Saccharomyces cerevisiae S288C: one gene and its partners. The protein of the gene in region 2 binds, or shares a complex with, the protein of the main gene of each other region. Each region holds a gene or a part of one and is shown on either strand. Other genes may lie near its edges. The genes, in order: RSM18, RSM25, MRPS9 and RSM19.

Region 1 (2,859 bases), on a different chromosome or scaffold from region 2:
TGGACGACGACGAAGATAATAAGCAATACTTAAAGGAAGACGTTGAAGACGCTTCTGTTTATCGTGCGGATGACAGTGGTGATTCAGTATTGATTAATGATCCACCTGCTTGGAATACTTTCAATTTGGTCTTGAGAGATGAAAGTGTTTTGGAGTTTGTTAAGTACGTCAGCTGGAGCGCTAAATCTAGTAGATGGGATGTCAAAATGAAGTGGGATGTCAAATCATGTGATGAAGATGGTCAGGAAGATGAAGCGTAAACAATTAACCCGTCTTATTAAGTAAATGGCAGCTTAGATATTTATAAAGTTGTATAATAGAAGTAATAAAATTATTTGAAAAGTTATTCGTCAATTTCAGCTTATTCCTCTGGCGTGAATATCATTACCATAATCCAAATTCGAGTAAGCGAATAAAACGGGTATATTAAAGAAATATAAGAATGAATATAAGTTTAACTTAAGATCTAATTGCGATTCTTTTTACATATTGTATATTTACAGACAGAACTATGAAATGCCTTATTTTCTTAATTATTTCATGTGGAGAAGCATTAGTGTAGTACAGTTCACATTAATCCTATTGCCTGGCACCGTCTAATGGCTTTCGATAGTCTTCTTTGATTCTTTGCCGATAAGCCTGTGATATCCCTATGTTGGATTCTTCCCGTGGAGGTCACATATCTTGAAAGTATTCTTGGTCTTGCATAAAATTCTAGTGGATTTGCACCGGACTTCATTATATCGTTCCTGTTTGAGTTCTTGTTTGCCTGATATTTTCTATCTAAATGGATTCGTCCCATAGAGAAGTCAAATGGATCGTAGATAGTACCTTTGGGAAGTTTTTTGGACAAAGACTGATCGATTTTCTTTGTTTGTTGCGTTCTCCCCATTTCAATATTGACACTCTTCTTTTCTTTGATACCGAAATTGTATAGAGCACGTTTAAATGTGGAGCTTACTGCTCCCTTGATGATAGGTTGCATACCGTTTTGAATTTTTATGCCTGTGGTGGCATTCATCTTGAACATCCGAAGTTTTGTGTAGAACCTTGCCTTTTTGGTTAGAACTGTAACACTGTTAATAATGGACTCATATTTAAGTATGTAAAGTAATCCTAGATATTTTTTCCCCCAACAGGTTACCCTACAATGCAATTTAAAGGCATAATAGAACATCTAATAGAAGTGGGTGATTATAATGAGTAAGAAGACGTAATGATCATAAAACAAAATACTAATAAGCTATGGTGCAATGCAAGATCCCAATATTTGCCAGCATTGCCAGTTGAAGGATAATCCAGGCGCATTAATTTGGGTGAAGTGTGATAGTTGCCCGCAGTGGGTCCACGTGAAATGCGTGCCTTTGAAACGCATTCACTATTCAAATCTTACAAGTTCTGAAGTTCTGTCTTATCCAAATTCTGCGAAGCAAATCAAGAGCTACCGTTGTCCTAATCATAAGGAAGGAGAATATCTTACCGCATACGCTCTCATCACACAAAAAGGAAAGCGGCAAAGGAATAAAGAAAACCCTGAAGATAGTCATATAAATAAGCGGTATAATTTCAGAAAGAAGAAATTACTTGACTATATCGCTTTGAATGAGGGTGAATCGAAAAGGGATAAAATGAATCACCCTCATAAGGAGAGTTTCATGAAATCTTTTGAAAAATGGAAAAATGGCTCAAATATTATAAACGCCGCTGACTTTGCTGAAAAGTTTGATAATATAGATGTGCCGTACAAGATCATCGATCCACTGAATAGCGGAGTATATGTACCGAATGTGGGCACAGACAATGGATGCCTCACAGTTAATTATATCACCGAAATGATAGGCGAGGATTATCATGTTGATGTAATGGACGTTCAATCACAAATGAATGAAAATTGGAACTTGGGATCTTGGAATGAATATTTTACAAATACTGAACCAGACAGGAGGGATCGAATAAGGAATGTTATATCATTAGAAGTCTCTAATATTGAGGGATTAGAACTAGAGAGGCCCACTGCAGTTAGGCAGAATGATCTTGTTGATAAAATTTGGAGTTTCAATGGACATTTAGAAAAAGTCAATGGGGAGAAGGCGGAGGAGAATGACCCCAAGCCAAAAGTGACCAAATATATTTTGATGTCTGTAAAGGATGCTTATACGGATTTTCATTTGGATTTTGCCGGTACCTCTGTTTATTATAACGTTATCTCAGGACAGAAGAAGTTTTTATTATTTCCACCTACCCAATCAAACATAGATAAGTATATTGAGTGGTCTTTAAAAGAAGACCAAAATAGTGTTTTCCTCGGTGATATTCTTGAGGATGGTATTGCGATGGAATTAGATGCTGGTGATTTGTTTATGATTCCAGCTGGATATATTCATGCAGTTTATACACCAGTAGACTCTTTGGTATTTGGAGGCAACTTTTTAACCATCCGTGATTTGGAGACACACCTTAAAATTGTGGAAATTGAAAAGTTAACAAAGGTTCCTAGAAGATTTACCTTCCCGAAGTTTGATCAAGTGATGGGTAAATTATGCGAGTATCTTGCGCTTGATAAAAATAAAATCACTAGTGATGTCAGTGATGGGGATTTGCTTTCCAGGACCACTAATTGCGCAATTCAATCACTTCATGCATACGTTATAAAACCTGAAGTTAAGTACAAGCCGTTAAATTTCACTTCAAAGAAGCATTTAGCGAAAGCTTTAGCCGATCTTATTTCGTAAAATTTCTTCTTGTCCGCCACGTTCTTGTATCTTTTATTTCATCCTATGCTCTCGATGAATGAGATCTACTTTAGCAATTGATACAGTATAACCCTGACATTACATTTAGGGAATAATCGCCCCAATA
Region 2 (2,881 bases):
GCCTTTCCTGTTTCTTGGAATGTTTGGAAACCGGCGTAGAGATCAATAAAGTTGAAGCTTAGGCCGTGCTTGGAGTTAAGGTTTTCCAAAACTTGCTTACCAGCAGGAATGACTTCCTTACCGATACCGTCACCGGGGATAAGACCAATAGTGAGTGATTTGCGAGCAGCGTTAGATGCTAACCCACGGCAGGCAGATAATCTAGTAGCAACAGATCTAAACATCTTTTTGAGTGCGTTACTATCTTAGTTATATAAATATGTCGCACTAATATAATAATCGCATAGATACAGTCTTAGCTAATTCTAAATCAGTTAAGATGTCCTTATATAACTGTAGAACCAGTTTAGTTTCTTGTTGTTCTTTCCTCTAATTAGAGTCATCTTAAGAATATTTTTCCACGGGAAAAAAGTGAAAAAAAAAAAAAAAAAAAAAAAAAAGAGTGGGAATTTTCAGTGCAGTTGAAAAAATCGAGGTGGAATTTGAGAACGACAATTACTTAGCACTACATGTGTTGTTCTCGTTTGTTTTTAATTATATACAGGTTGGTTAGGTGACGTTGGAGAAAAGAGGCAGCCCACCTAGAAGTGGAGGTTCTCGGAAGTGGTGGATTCTTCTTCTTGCGCCGTATTCAATGTAGTGTCGTCCTTCCACGACCCTGCAGGGTTACTTGTCCTTGCTGCCATTAGTTCAGTTTCTTCAACTACCTTCTTTTCCCAGACGTCTAGGACCTCTTGTTCCTTTTGTATACCATGTTCAATGGCAGAAACTCCAAAGAGGGATCCGAACATCTCCGCTTCTTCCAAAGCCACTTGCTGCTCTGTTTCTTCTTGCATTCTCAACGCATAGAATTCATATCTGGCATGGTCATATGCTTCGACCATGTCCCCATACTGCTTCGTTTTGATTAAGTACATAGTTCGCTGGATAACACTTTCACCATCGAGTGGTCTTCCTATCTGAAGCATATGGCTCCAATCGTAGTTTTCATCACCAATTTCGTTTTCCACTAAAATCTTAGGTCTCGACAACTCCCATGGATGTTGTTTGTAAAAGAGCGATCTGAGCCTATCCTCAACGTATGTTAGTTTAGGTGGCCTGTACAGCCTTTTCACGCCCACCCTTTTGTCGCTCGAGTTGGGTCTTGTCTTGTAAAGTCCCTTATTGTTGGCATGCGGTTGTTCTGTTACGTCAACAAGTTTTCCTATGATGTGTCCATTGGAAGGATTCTTAAAACGAGGTTCACGTGTAAACTTGGTTGATGGTGGGATAGACGCTACAACGTTGTACCACGCAGGTGTTTCTTTCAACAATCCTGATTTCAAGTAAGCGGACGTCCGTTGAAGGACGTTTACAGCATTTGTTTGTATCTTCATTTCTCAGAATTCTAAGATCTTCTTCTTGAATGGTGCGCAATGTCCTTCTTCCTTTTCCAAGCTTCTAATGAGGTTATTTTCTTAGACTTTTGTGCAGTATCTAAATATTATTGGTTTTATTGCTTGTAACTTGCACTTTTCTGTAATTGCCGAAGTATCAAAGAAATTTCAACTCTCAAAGAAGATGCGCAAGAATGAAGACCAAATGAAAAATGTCATAAAAAAGCAGTATATTAGCTGTCTTGGGTTAGGGTCCTCGTTCAACAGATTCTTTTTGCTTAATGGTGCAAATGAGATCCAAAAACATGGCATACGAGTCGGGAACTAATAACTATAGTGATACAATAGCTAATGGAAATACCCTGCCGCCGCGAAGCAAGAAGGGACACAGTGGACGTAGAAAGAGGAGCGAAACTTTGCCCATAGCGTGTAATAATTTTTGTGTTACAAGACAGATTGATGACGATGAACAAGCGTTCAAAATGCTAGATAAAGTGAGTCATCTGAAAAAATTCAGTGCTGAAGACGGTGATGATAACAATATATTCGTCCAATGGGCCGATGATATTACAGATATCTTATTTGGACTATGCTGTACAGGAACGTTTTTGAAACTTCTTATAAGCTCTGCATTATCCGGCCGGGCTAAGACATGGTTTGATTCTACAACGGAGGGAATCGATGACCATGTGATAAAGGCTTACAGTTTTGAAAAATTTCTTGCTCTACTATCAGAAGAATTTGATGGAGCAAGATCTTTAAGAAGGGAAATTTTTACGGAACTATTGACGTTGTCCATTGATTCTGAGAAGTCATTAGAAGCATTTGCCCATAAATCGGGACGTCTAACTCCATATTATCTGTCTTCTGGTGCTGCGTTGGATCTATTCCTCACAAAATTGGAGCCACAGTTGCAAAAGCAACTGGAAAATTGTGCATTCCCAATGACTTTGAATTTAGCACTATTGATAACTGCCTGTGAATTTGCGAAGAGAGCATCTAATCATAAAAAATACCGGTATAAAAATACGAGGGATTCCGACATTTGTACTCCAAAGAGTAAGAATACTGCTATCGTTAGCAAATTATCGAATACTAAAACTATAAGTAAGAATAAGGTTATTGAAAAGAGTGATAAGAAAAATTACTTTGATAAGAACAGTCAACACATACCCGATCCTAAACGTCGGAAACAAAATGAACCTGGAATGCGGCTCTTTCTTGTCATGGATGAGGAAAAGAATATTCTTACATCTAGGAATGTTTCTGCCAATGCATACACATCAAAAAATGGACACACCAATTTAAGCGATCTCCATACGAATCTTAAAAACAGTAAATCTCAACAATGTGCAGTGGAGCCAATATCGATTTTGAATAGCGGCAGTTTGGTTACAGGCACAATTAATATTGACCTAATTAATGATGAAGTTTTAGGCACGAAGGAGGAAACTACAACTTATGATGAACGTATGGATGGAAACTCACGTTCTTTGAATGAGAGG
Region 3 (3,263 bases), on a different chromosome or scaffold from region 2:
GCAATATATGTTCTCTGACATTGCACCTTTTGAATATATCATGTGTTTGTTCTGCTATCTGCTTGTAGAAGGGTACGCTAACAGAGCCGGCGGCATTGTAAAAAGTTCTCCTTTCGCGGAAGGATGAGTCAAAAAGCATGTGACAATGAAATAATCAAATTGTGACATCTGCTGACGCGGGATCGTTCCTTCGTATTGTCTAGATTGTAATCTATATAACATACTACGAATATAAAAGAGGGACTACAAGATATTTCTAGCGCAAACTACTGCTTTACTGTCTCACAATGTCTCTGATTGGAAGATACCTAAGAAAATTATTTAACTACATATCTACAAAATCAAAGCATCATGCCTTCGCAAGTCATTCCTGAAAAACAAAAGGCTATTGTCTTTTATGAGACAGATGGAAAATTGGAATATAAAGACGTCACAGTTCCGGAACCTAAGCCTAACGAAATTTTAGTCCACGTTAAATATTCTGGTGTTTGTCATAGTGACTTGCACGCGTGGCACGGTGATTGGCCATTTCAATTGAAATTTCCATTAATCGGTGGTCACGAAGGTGCTGGTGTTGTTGTTAAGTTGGGATCTAACGTTAAGGGCTGGAAAGTCGGTGATTTTGCAGGTATAAAATGGTTGAATGGGACTTGCATGTCCTGTGAATATTGTGAAGTAGGTAATGAATCTCAATGTCCTTATTTGGATGGTACTGGCTTCACACATGATGGTACTTTTCAAGAATACGCAACTGCCGATGCCGTTCAAGCTGCCCATATTCCACCAAACGTCAATCTTGCTGAAGTTGCCCCAATCTTGTGTGCAGGTATCACTGTTTATAAGGCGTTGAAAAGAGCCAATGTGATACCAGGCCAATGGGTCACTATATCCGGTGCATGCGGTGGCTTGGGTTCTCTGGCAATCCAATACGCCCTTGCTATGGGTTACAGGGTCATTGGTATCGATGGTGGTAATGCCAAGCGAAAGTTATTTGAACAATTAGGCGGAGAAATATTCATCGATTTCACGGAAGAAAAAGACATTGTTGGTGCTATAATAAAGGCCACTAATGGCGGTTCTCATGGAGTTATTAATGTGTCTGTTTCTGAAGCAGCTATCGAGGCTTCTACGAGGTATTGTAGGCCCAATGGTACTGTCGTCCTGGTTGGTATGCCAGCTCATGCTTACTGCAATTCCGATGTTTTCAATCAAGTTGTAAAATCAATCTCCATCGTTGGATCTTGTGTTGGAAATAGAGCTGATACAAGGGAGGCTTTAGATTTCTTCGCCAGAGGTTTGATCAAATCTCCGATCCACTTAGCTGGCCTATCGGATGTTCCTGAAATTTTTGCAAAGATGGAGAAGGGTGAAATTGTTGGTAGATATGTTGTTGAGACTTCTAAATGATCTTTTGTAACGAATTTGATGAATATATTTTTACTTTTTATATAAGCTATTTTGTAGATATTGACTTTTTACGATTTATTTGTAACAATGAGAATTACTCCATTTCTGAACTTCAGTAAATAGCGAGTGATTCTGTACTTTGCGAGAACCGGTGGACATTTGGTATTTTGCCTTACAAGAACAACCTATACAAACGTTTCAATATCTAATTCTTTGTAATCCATTGTTTTACGAGACATATAATGTGATATATAGATGAACTTTACGTATAAAATGATATATTTAAAACTAGCAACTGCGTGCGTAAGACAAACTGAAATAGGCCATTTACGGAAAAGAAATTTAATAATGTCGACTGGAAACTGAAACCAGGAGGAGTAGAAATTGGTTAAATTGATTAGCTAAAATTTACTCGTTGTGGACAGAGTTTGAGCCAAGCGGAATGTTTTCAAGGCTTTCTTTGTTTCGAAGGGCAGCTCTGGCTCCTGCCCCTATGAGAATGTCTTTTAGGACTATTTATCAAAAAACCGAGGATGAATTGCCCAGAAGGATCGTCCCAAAGCTAGCCACATTTTATTCGGCGAATCCTAACCATGAAGATCGTATTAATCGACTCGAAAGACTTCTAAGGAAATACATAAAACTGCCATCTCAGAACAACAATGAAGCACAACAAACAAAAGCTCCTTGGATTTCTTTCGATGAGTACGCTTTAATCGGCGGTGGTACGAAATTAAAGCCTACGCAATATACTCAGCTACTGTATATGTTGAATAAACTTCACAACATTGATCCTCAACTTACTAATGATGAAATCACATCCGAACTATCCCAATATTATAAAAAAAGTTCAATGCTTTCCAATAATATCAAAATCAAAACTTTAGATGAGTTTGGAAGAAGTATAGCCGTTGGAAAAAGGAAAAGTTCCACTGCGAAAGTATTCGTTGTTAGAGGTACAGGTGAGATATTAGTTAATGGTCGACAATTGAATGATTACTTCCTTAAGATGAAAGACAGAGAATCAATCATGTATCCACTTCAAGTGATCGAATCAGTTGGAAAGTACAATATTTTTGCGACAACGTCTGGAGGCGGACCTACGGGTCAGGCTGAATCAATCATGCACGCCATTGCGAAAGCTTTGGTTGTGTTCAATCCATTATTAAAATCCAGACTACATAAAGCTGGCGTCTTAACAAGAGATTACAGGCACGTCGAAAGAAAGAAGCCAGGAAAAAAGAAGGCAAGAAAGATGCCAACATGGGTCAAGAGATAGTCTTAGTGCATCTTGTTACCTCAATTTCGAACGGAAGCGTGCGTGCTCTGAGTTTTTTGACACATGCCAGAAGAAACGTTATATATTTTGCATACAACGCCGCCCAGCATTAGAAGCACAACTCTCGTTCGTTATTCCTGTAAATAAAGTTATATGTATTCGAATATTGCTCAGTTAGTATTTTCTTCTACTTACTGCACATAATACTTCATCTTTTTTTTCCTCTCACCCGCAAAGCAAAGGGGCCTTGCAGCAATGACTCAAATTCCATTGGAAAAAAGAAGGAGATGATAAGATGCAAATCAGAATAGATTTTACTATGACCGTTACATGTAAAAAGAGTCATAATATAAACCATAAATACTACAAATAACACCGGGTTCAGGCATATAAATAAACTATTCTCCTGTAATATCCCACAATATTTTGTTATAACCCAGACGTAATAGCCTCAAGCGAGCATCCCTAAATTTCTGCCATGAAGCTGATCCCAATTATTTTGAATGCTAAGAATCTCAGTGGGATGGCTGGATCCATATCAATATGCTGTTGGATTGTTGTGTTTGTACCACAGATT
Region 4 (2,542 bases), on a different chromosome or scaffold from region 2:
TTGGAGTTGTTTGAATTGACAGAATTAATACTCACCGCCAAATTTTGAAGGTTTTTCAATACGCTGGATTGTGAGCGAGATTCACAGATAAGTTGTAGTAACTTGCTTAATCTGATAGACGATTCATTTGATTTAACGAAAATCAAAATCTTTGCAGCAATGGGGGAATGTGCCATAAATTGGCATATTGAATACAACAATATCAATGGCTTGTAAACACTTTTCGCCGTGGGAATGTTGATGTTAAATTCATTCAATTTGTTAGGTAGCTGGTACAATTTATCGGTTTGCTTCAGGAACAACTTTGGTTTGTAAAGGTTCAAGCCGTTTAACTTTTCTGTGTTGGTAGTCAATGTCGCACTGAAGATCATTTTGATCACGTTCCCTGGAAGTGTATCTAATTTATCCGTTTTCAAATGGGACATTAGTTTTGGACACCAGCCCTGGAAGGACTGGTTCAAAAGACGATCAGCCTCATCGATAATCAAAAACTTTAGGTTTTTCAAATTTATCGATTTCATATTTAGATGATCTACTAATCTACCAGGTGTAGTGATTAAGATATCTGGTTCCAAATTTGATAATTTTTTGTGTTCGTCCTTCAAAGAATTTTCTAATTTGGCAATGCTCACAATAAGCGACGTCCCTTGAGTTAGCTTTGTCAACGTAGTATAAACTTGGTTTATCAATAGTTTTGTGGGGACGATGATTATACAACGCAGTCTGTTAATTTGTCTCTTGAAGAGGGTTTGAACAATAGGAATGGAGTAAGCCAAAGTTTTACCTGAACCGGTAGCAGCATTTACAAGAATATCACCGATTCTTCTGGTGAAGTTTCTCTTAGATACGTTCAACGTGAAGTTCAATACCGGTAATATGGAGTCTAGGATGATCGATTGGATGGGAAAAGTGTTTGTAGAGAAATTCTTGCAAATATTCTGCAGTAGTTTTGCTTCTAATTCATTTGCGTAATCCGAGAACGGTTTGATCAAGGAATTATCATAATATATCTTCTCAGTATTTAACCAACCCGTAGATTTGAACTGTAATGAATTTGTATTCAAATTCATTGGGTTTTTGACGAATTCAGGTTGAGGAATCTGTTTTAGTTGGTGAGTTGAGGCCGCCTCGTCTTCAATACCTTCGTCTTCCTTACTCTCAGCAATATCAGATGCACCTAGCCTTTCTTGCAATGATACTGTTTGCTTGAATCTCGATAGCACTGTGCTGTGAGTACTTGGCTTACTCTCTTCCTCTTCCACTTCACTCGAATCCTCTTCACTAGCCCCATAATCTACTTGCATACGGTCTTCGTCTTCCTCTGAACTAGAGTTGGAACTCTCATCAGAATCTTGGTGAGAGCCATATTCTTCATTATCAGATTCAGTAGCCTGCCTCTTTAAAGGCACAATGGCCGGGGGAGTAGTTCCGACGATTCCTTCTGGTGCGCTAGCTGCAGGAGCAGTCAATTGGCTAGGGTCAAATCTCGATGCAAACATTGTCACTACCGGTCACCAATGGTAAAGGTGTCCAGTTTCGAGCACATCTCATCGCCAGTTATGCTTTCTATATAATACAAATCTGCAATAATTTTTCAAATTTTAAGCATCACCCGGCATTAGCGTTTGGATCACTATTCACGGTTATGGCTGAGCAAGAAATGGCAATTGGAAGCGCCTAGTAAGAATCTAACCATGACTTAAAACGGTGAGGTTCATTGCAAGAGCAGTACAGCATCGGCAGAAGTAGTGTCCACCAAAAATAAAATGCAACCGGCAGCTAGACTTTTATCGCGGTCCGTATGGAAGGGCCCCAACATCGTGCCATTACCCATAAGGGAGGCCATGACTAAGGGCACTCCAATAAGAACAAACGCAAGGGCCGCCACCATCCTTCCTCAGTTCGTGGGACTGAAATTTCAAATACACAATGGTAAGGAGTACGTACCTATTGAAATATCAGAAGATATGGTGGGCCACAAACTGGGCGAGTTCGCACCTACCAGGAAGCGTTTCAGCTATACTCAAACCAAGAACAAATGAGGGATCTAGTGTATATAGATTTCTAGATGATATATCATGTAAATAAGATCAAGCCAGACTCGGGCTGTATATATATATATATATAGCATAATAAACAGTAATAGTGCTTTTAAAAGCATTTCAGTCTTACCCGAGCGACAAAACGATTTGGGGAGAAAAAACGCATATAACCAGGGAAAAGACGGAGAACTTACAGGTACACCAGAATTGAAGCAGGCCAACAAGAGCCATGTTGTCGAGGTTTATGTCCAACACATGGTGTACGCCCTTGAGACAGGCGCAGAGATTGTTTTCCTCCACTACGACAATGCAAGCGACATTGAATCAGATTAAAAGAGGCTCCGGGCCTCCAAGACGCAAGAAGATAAGTACAGCTCCACAACTGGATCAGTGTCCCCAGCGGAAGGGTGTCGTATTACGTGTAATGGTTTTAAAGCCCAAGAAGCCGAATTCTGCGCAGAGAAAGGCGTGCAGGGTCCGTTTGACTAACGGGAACGTGG

What was found.
Region 1: RSM25 (region 2) and RSM18 share a complex: the UniProt entries of both Saccharomyces cerevisiae proteins name them as parts of the mitochondrial small ribosomal subunit.
Region 3: RSM25 (region 2) and MRPS9 share a complex: the UniProt entries of both Saccharomyces cerevisiae proteins name them as parts of the mitochondrial small ribosomal subunit.
Region 4: RSM25 (region 2) and RSM19 share a complex: the UniProt entries of both Saccharomyces cerevisiae proteins name them as parts of the mitochondrial small ribosomal subunit.

The regions. Positions count from the first base shown.
Region 1 is NC_001137.3:253,403-256,261, forward strand, and holds RSM18 (mitochondrial 37S ribosomal protein bS18m RSM18), read right to left. Parts: upstream 986-2,859; coding exon 569-985; downstream 1-568. Other genes in the region: TPA1 (oxidative DNA demethylase), read left to right, coding at 1-260; JHD1 ([Histone H3]-lysine-36 demethylase), read left to right, coding at 1,254-2,732. UniProt on the Saccharomyces cerevisiae protein: Component of the mitochondrial ribosome (mitoribosome), a dedicated translation machinery responsible for the synthesis of mitochondrial genome-encoded proteins, including at least some of the essential transmembrane subunits of the mitochondrial respiratory chain.
Region 2 is NC_001141.2:187,409-190,289, forward strand, and holds RSM25 (mitochondrial 37S ribosomal protein mS23 RSM25), read right to left. Parts: upstream 1,377-2,881; coding exon 582-1,376; downstream 1-581. Other genes in the region: LYS12 (homoisocitrate dehydrogenase), read right to left, coding at 1-224; YIL092W (uncharacterized protein), read left to right, coding at 1,658-2,881. UniProt on the Saccharomyces cerevisiae protein: Component of the mitochondrial ribosome (mitoribosome), a dedicated translation machinery responsible for the synthesis of mitochondrial genome-encoded proteins, including at least some of the essential transmembrane subunits of the mitochondrial respiratory chain.
Region 3 is NC_001134.8:533,411-536,673, forward strand, and holds MRPS9 (mitochondrial 37S ribosomal protein uS9m MRPS9), read left to right. Parts: upstream 1-1,849; coding exon 1,850-2,686; downstream 2,687-3,263. Other genes in the region: YBR144C (uncharacterized protein), read right to left, coding at 1-139; alcohol dehydrogenase ADH5, read left to right, coding at 352-1,407; RTC2 (cationic amino acid transporter), read left to right, coding at 3,165-3,263. UniProt on the Saccharomyces cerevisiae protein: Component of the mitochondrial ribosome (mitoribosome), a dedicated translation machinery responsible for the synthesis of mitochondrial genome-encoded proteins, including at least some of the essential transmembrane subunits of the mitochondrial respiratory chain.
Region 4 is NC_001146.8:694,552-697,093, reverse strand, and holds RSM19 (mitochondrial 37S ribosomal protein uS19m RSM19), read left to right. Parts: upstream 1-1,766; coding exon 1,767-2,042; downstream 2,043-2,542. Other genes in the region: putative ATP-dependent RNA helicase DBP6, read right to left, coding at 1-1,499; mitochondrial 37S ribosomal protein uS12m MRPS12, read left to right, coding at 2,272-2,542. UniProt on the Saccharomyces cerevisiae protein: Component of the mitochondrial ribosome (mitoribosome), a dedicated translation machinery responsible for the synthesis of mitochondrial genome-encoded proteins, including at least some of the essential transmembrane subunits of the mitochondrial respiratory chain.